2 linked regions of the Drosophila melanogaster genome follow. Changing the gene in region 1 together with any one later gene gives a genetic interaction. Each region holds a gene or a part of one and is shown in the gene's direction. Other genes may lie near its edges.

Region 1 (3,711 bases):
GTTTATAACTTTAACTAGATTTCGTTTGAAAAATTCTTTTACAAATACAAAACCCAAGAAAAGGCTGTGATAAACTGATACGAATAATTTTTAGAGCCTTAACATTCGTTTTTAAATCTTAAAAACGTCTTAAAACAAAAATAAACTACAAAAAAAGTTCCAAGGTTTATGAAAGACGGAAGTTTCAGTGAAGATTACGTTTAAGTATACAAAAAGGGTCACAATAACTTTTAAATACATATTTAAGTAGTTTTCCTGCGTTAACACGTTTTTTTTAAACTGTAGATGGGCGCTATACGCACACACACACACGCATAAGCACCGTAAAAAACACACGCGCGTTGTTGTTGTTGAATTGCGAGTTTTTAAGGGTTTATACTTTCTTGAAGGTTATCCTTTTGGATAATTGGCTCAATATACGTGGATGTATATTGTATTAAACATATTCTTGCGCTGCAAGCAGATAAAAAAAATATACAAAAAAAAAGGGGAAACAAACACGTGTGACGCACACACACAGTTGCACTCGCGCGCACACACACAAACAAAAAGCCGCCCGTTTTTAACCTCATTTCGGTGGAAATGGCAATATTCCGCAGTTTGCCGCAGTAAATTCACAAAACCCTTAGTATCCACACTAGTTGCCAGCGTTTAGCCGTCTTTTGGCCATCCTCTGGCCACAATCCACACAATTAAACGTTGAAAATCCCTTACTTTGTCACAGAAGAAATCGAGATACGATGTCAGCGCAAAGGCAAACGCCTGAAAAAGAACATGTTACGGCAGTGTGCAGCAACGCCAGAGAGTCCGCTTCCGCCGACACGCACACGGTTGCATTCCGGCTGCCAGGGCTGCGCAACAAGTGAACTATCGAACGGAGATAGGCGGCCATGAGTGGGGATTATTCCTCGACTTAATCACTTTTTCGAACGCGTTTGCTACTTGAGTTGCACATTTATATGTACTTCATAGAAATATACCCTGCTTTCAGGCATACTATTAGTTTTAAGCCACTTTTTTAATGACAAATTTCGAACTTTCTATCGATATGCGGCATTTCGCGGTTTTGCCAGTCACAACGGGTGGCGATAGTTGAAATTCGCATGCCAAATTTTCTTTATTACGGTCACCTTATAGAAATTTTGATATGCTTGAGTATTAAATGTTATTATTTCACTGACTGTAAAATAAAAAGTTATTTAAATCGTAATGCATATATATTTATAACATATAGTTCTTTATTTGATTTTGTAAGTGGAAAAAAATATGTGGTATGTAAAGATTATATATATGGGATATATAAAATACACAAAAATTTTACTATATTACATAGTAAATTTAAGGGTGGTAAAACGTTTTTACACGAATACAATATCCAAATACTTTAGTAAAATATATTTTTAATCATAAGAATTTACCCATATTATTAACTTTTCTGGCACATTCTATATCCGATAGTTTACACCTTATGCCTTAGTATTTTTCGGTATTTTCTCCGGCCACACTGGCAGCAGGCCGAAGTTTCTCGTCCAATTGGGATTATTTCGGAATTTCAGTTACTAGCTCGTCATCAAAACAGCAACAACTGTTGAGAATAAAATTCTTGCGTGAAACCGAATCAATAGAAAAACAAATAAAACAAACAAAATGGTTCGCCGTGGACGTTCAGCCAGTCCCCCGCCCTCCACTCGTCGGTAAGACAGTCGCGAAAAACAAAGAAAATTCGGGGGAAATTGGATAAAGCGCCGGCAGGAAATTCATTTCGTAATCACCGACCAATCAATCGGATGATCTGGCTTTATCTCATGGACAGAATTTCACTTCCGCCGCTTTTTCCGGCCCCCGAAATGGGTTAAGGTTACGTAACCTTAAAAATAAGAGGATTCCCAATAACATGGGATGTTTTATTGGTGCTGTCCTCCTAGCGGAAGACCCGCTAAATCTGGCTACTTATTCAATTACGAAAGTGCTCATAAAATCCATTTTTGTAAGAAATTTACTAAATTTATTGTTCTATGTAAATATATATATATATCCCAGGCCATTGATTTATTAAATTAAAAACATCACATGTTTTTATTTTGCGTTAAAAAAGTAAAATATTCAAATGTTTATACAATTTGGCTTATTATAAAGAAAACAAGAATTTGCATAGGAATATAAAAATATTACCTACTTTTGCAGTAGATATAAAATAAAGTCCTTTAAAAATCCTAGGAATTAGTTAAATTTGTATAGTTCATTGTTTTCAACACAAAGACCCTTCAATTTCGTCACGGAATGATCAACGACACTCCAGAGCAAAGTCCACAATAACAACTGATTGCTTCTGTTTTCCCAACAGCACCGCACCTGTGCAGGCCCGTGCCCCCGCCCCGGCCCCGGCTCCTGTCCAGACACGTGCCCCAGCACCGGCCGCCTCTGCCCCTGTTCCGGCGCCCATGAGCGCTCCTCCCAGTGCCGTCGGCATGCCGGCACCGCAGCAGCCATCGATGTTCCAGCAGATGGCCGCCACCGCTGGAGGCGTGGCCGTGGGCTCAGCCATTGGACACACCGTGGGTCATGGATTGACCTCGCTGTTCAGCGGATCTGGCGACAAGGAGGCCGCTGCTCCCGCTCCGGCGGCAGCCGCTCCTGCCCCCCAGCAGCCATACTACGCCCAGCAGCAGCAGCCCAATGAGCCGCAGGGAGCCTGCGCCTGGGAGCTCAAACAGTTCATCCAGTGCGCCCAGGGTCAGGCGGATCTTACCCTCTGCGAGGGATTCAACGAGGCGCTGCGGCAGTGCAAGCAGAGCCACCATCTCCAGTAGAGGGCCCAGCTCCGGTAGAATATCATCTGGCCAAGCACCGGCGGATGAACGCAGCCGGATGAACCCATCGGATGAACACCTCCGGATGAACTCTGTCCTATCCCTTCGTTTAGTTCTTAATTGTTTAATTGCAAGCATCTGAAAGAAAGCATTGTTTAATTGTAGTGCAAAATGAAATGTTAAATAGAAAATCCCGTTGGCAGCCCAAAACCCTTTCCAAAAAAAAACACAAACAAACAAAACAAAAAAGAAACCAAACCCCACGGGTTGTCAATGTGGGCCAAAACAAAACGAAGTTTCCAAGAGTTTTTATTGTTTAAAATATAAATATATGCATAAGTTAATATCAAGTTATAATTGTTGTCTAAACAAGGAGCCAAGAAAATCTTTGAAATATTCATTTTTCAAGAAGCTTCTAGAAAAAATGCAACTTTCCCTTTTCCTCCTTCTGGAAAATGCAAAATTTGCATTCTATTGTGAAATGTGGCTGCATGCGGTTGCCAAAAATAATTTTGGTGACATTGCACTTCTATAAATAGGAAAATCGATTCATTTCCCTATACATTTGTATGGGAACCCCTTTTCGCCTTTTTCATTGTCACGTGTCTTTCATTTCAGCTTTTCTTGTGTTTTGATTGCAATGCGCTTTGTTTTGTTGAAATTAGGTGGTAAACAAATGGGAAATATGATAAACATGTTTACCTACTTGCTGTTTAGTTATAAATGAAGGGTTATATAGCATATATATTCTATTATATGCTATACACATACAGATGTACATATTCATGGTTAAACGAGCGATTAGTCATAGATCTTATTAATGGTCTTATGAAATATTTGCCGTGGAAACGTAATTTTGAAAAGTTAAGAACTGTTTAAAAGGTTCCCTAAATTACCACCC
Region 2 (3,614 bases), on another chromosome or scaffold:
CTCGGCGCTTAGAGAACCGGCTAGGAATATCTCAAGACGCATTTTAACTTGGCTGCAACGCAGTAGGAAAACTGCCTGCCGTCTCTTTCCTCGCGGCTATAGGCCTGTCTCTCTCTCTTTGCGCAGGTACATCATATTGTATCTGATGAAAACGAAAGCAAAATCCGAACTGGTTTCTTCGAGGGTTGATAAGCCCTAATGGAGGTGGAAAATGCGGAGAAGAGCCGCTCTCTCACCCAAAAAATAAAATATATAAACATATCAGCCGGCACGTAGGGCGGTTTCTATGCTGTGGACTACGTGCTAGATGACACGGCAAAATTGTCCGTGTTTTTCGTGTTCTGGCTCCCTTGTTTACCGTTTACTACTTTGGGGGTCAGTTGGCACCCAGCTAACTCCCACCCCCATCTAGTGTAATTGATGGATTTGGGTCATGCTTTCCCCAATTCAAATATGCTCCTCGTCACATGGAAATCTACTTTCAAGGTCTGTCAAGCTTCCCCATTTAGCCATCATAAATATTAGCACGCTTAAGTATCGACCTTGTGCAGATTTCTAGGTGGGCGCCATCCCCTGTCCCACATCGAGATCATGATCGCCGCAGATCAACACACGTGGCCACCTTTTGTCAACCCCATATCCCTCGGAATGGCCCGTGGCCAATATCCGAATTACGTCGAATCGTGGGCGCCAACGTAGGCAAAAGTTCCTGTAGCACTATTTACATGCGTCCAACGATTAAATATCGTCAACATCGCCCCCGCATAGCTAAAACCGCTCGTGCCGCTGCTTGGATCCACCCTATGCTTGCTGCGATCAGTGGGGCATATTAGTTTGATTCCAAACAAGATATTCCACCTCAAAGAACTTGGGAACTAATAAGGGTTCGATCACCAAATTTGGTGATATGATATATGTATTTCTTTAGATATGTGCGCTAATATTAAACGGCTAAGAAGTCAATGTGCCAAAGAAAAGATATTAAATATGTATGTTTCATATCAGTCAAGTTAAATTTTGATATGAGCTAAGCGTACTTTTGGATTGTGCACTCCTAAATATAGAAATCACGCTAAAATTGCATATCTAAGTAAATAAAGCAAGTAAGTTATGTAAGACGTGTATCTTTTCGTGATAATTATTTCAAAACGGCTCGTGCCAGATAATAATGAACACTTTCCGCCTGAAAAAAAGTGAAATGCTGGGTATCTTTTAGCCCATAAAAACCTGCAATATCGTTGCTCAAATTGCTATGCTCCGCGAGTTCGCACATGCATAGAAGGCACTCATAGCCTACGTCACGATTGCCGGCGACGTGTCTTTATGCTAATTAATGGTATTTCGCGAAAACGAGTGCAAAATAATGGCCCCATGGAGAGAGCGGCAGTACTTCACGAAATTCTGCGGAACACCTCTTGACTCCCAGACAGCCATAGATAAGATCCCAATTGCACCTGAGTCATCATCATTTCCCTAGCAAGATCGACAATAGACTTGGTTTTTAGAAAAGAATGCGATTGGCGTTTAGTGCTGTTGGCTAACTTGTTTACCAATAATATTGCCGTGCATTAAACAATAACAAATGACCAAAGATAAACAAGAGCTCAAGGCGAGAAGCCCCTCAAGACAGCCCCCCACCATCGCTACACCCCTTATCATCTAGAACCTCCGAGGTGTGCAGGCTGCAACAAAAATAAGAACAATAGGGGAATATATTAGAATACGGCAATAACAACAAGAACCAGCCGGTTTGTCATAAACTACGCAGAAAATACACCAGATAAAAACAAAAAACATCAGCCGACCAAGCAGAATAATCAGGCGAGAGAGCAGGCGAAAGAGCGAGAAGAGAGCGAGAGAGAGTAAGAATGGGGGGGTATAAATAGAGCCACACTTCGTAATACCGCCAGCAATCGCCTAGCGAACAGCCAACGGTGAACACATAGCAGCCACACAAGCTCTATAGCTGATACAAGCAACGAAATACAAACAACGCAGTTTGTGTAAACAATCAAATTGTCGCAGCCATATCGAGTGTGCTTACACGTCCAGCGGAAAGTTTTCGAAACCAATCCAATCAATCAGCTAAGATGTCCGCTTCACCCACCGCCCGTCAAGCCATCACCCAGGCCCTGCCCATGATCACCAGGAAGGTTGTCATCTCGGATCCGATCCAGATGCCCGAGGTGTACTCCTCGACGCCCGGCGGAACCCTCTACTCCACCACTCCTGGAGGTAAGTTTCGAAAATTGGAAGCTGAGACTACATCGAGTATTATTAAGTTCCTTCCGGAAAGTGGAGTGATTTTCTTATCATTAGATATGATATCAAGATGAAATTAATCAACATATTTCGAAAACATAAACAAGTATACCGTTTCTTTCCTTTGCTCAAACAACAAACAAGCTTTTGTTTGAGTTGTGATACATTATTTTTGTAAAACTCACTCACCATTTTTTGGCTGATGAAACTGGGCCATCTCGCCGAGTCAGTCAGTTGGAAGATAATCCCGAGCACATGTTCCACAGTTCGTGACTCAGAGTAGCGCGGCAAAGAAGCGTTTACTCAGCTGGCTTATCAGTGGGGAACTTTGAATACCTTTCTGATGCAACGCAGACCACCTTGACTAATAAAAATTTCCGCTTTCCTATAATTCCAGGCACCAAACTTATCTACGAGCGGGCTTTCATGAAGAATCTCCGTGGCTCCCCATTGAGCCAAACTCCGCCGTCCAACGTGCCCAGTTGCTTGCTGAGGGGAACTCCGCGTACTCCCTTCCGCAAGTGCGTGCCCGTCCCCACGGAACTGATCAAGCAGACCAAGTCGCTGAAGATTGAGGACCAGGAACAGTTCCAACTGGATCTGTAGGGGGTGTGGCGTGTACACCGCCATGCAGCAACTGCCAAATCCAACTAGTTCTTAGATGCACCCACTAAAACCGATCTTATAAGCTTAGTGTACCCATTAACTAGATGCTAAGTTCTTAGTTCTTCCACCTTGTTTGTTCTCTCGGTCATATTGACCCCGTTACCTTGTAAAATCGTAGATCTTAAGTAAAATGCAATAAAAAAAAGGCACACATTATTTAAAAGAGAACCACACCTTCCATTGGGATTCAGTAGCTGCCAATTTACAATTATAAATTTTAATTTATGTTTGAGAAATTCAGTGCCAAATTACTTTCTTTATCGGCAATTCAACCTTGGCAGGCCACGCGTTATGTGATAGAACACTTTCCACTTCACCTTGAGTCAGTTTCGGTTTAGTAGTATTTTCGGCAGTTTGTTGAACTGTTTGAACTGTTTACGAAGAAATTTAGCGAAAGGGGGCTTTTTGGGGGGCGGTACACATGTTAGACAGCTGGAAATACCGGCCGGCTTTTTAGTTAGCCAGTCAGTCAGTGGCCCCAGCAGCGCGTGTCCCACTTATTGCAAAGATATGCATACATATTTATAATGTATCCAAAAACCGGCAAACAAACGCCACAAAAAAATAGATCTTTAAGAAACTGCGCAGTTGGGAAACGACCTCGCCTTTGGCCCCCGCCCCGCCCTTTACCATTTTTCTTATATATACAAAAGTAGTGTGCTGAGCACATGTTCGTTCAGATAGAC

Evidence for each region. A genetic interaction does not mean that the proteins touch.
Region 2: of Chchd2 (region 1) and Thor, changing one suppresses a phenotype caused by changing the other (phenotypic suppression), as found in Drosophila melanogaster (one study listed by BioGRID).

The regions. Positions count from the first base shown.
Region 1 is NC_004354.4:17,147,490-17,151,200, forward strand, and holds Chchd2 (Coiled-coil-helix-coiled-coil-helix domain containing 2), read left to right. Parts: upstream 1-1,511; 5' UTR 1,512-1,647; coding exon 1,648-1,694; exon of another isoform or gene 1,695-1,987; intron 1,988-2,344; coding exon 2,345-2,810; 3' UTR 2,811-3,158; downstream 3,159-3,711.
Region 2 is NT_033779.5:3,476,526-3,480,139, forward strand, and holds Thor (thor), read left to right. Parts: upstream 1-1,908; 5' UTR 1,909-2,090; coding exon 2,091-2,235; intron 2,236-2,659; coding exon 2,660-2,868; 3' UTR 2,869-3,087; downstream 3,088-3,614. UniProt on the Drosophila melanogaster protein: Repressor of translation initiation that regulates eIF4E1 activity by preventing its assembly into the eIF4F complex. Hypophosphorylated form competes with eIF4G1 and strongly binds to eIF4E1, leading to repress translation.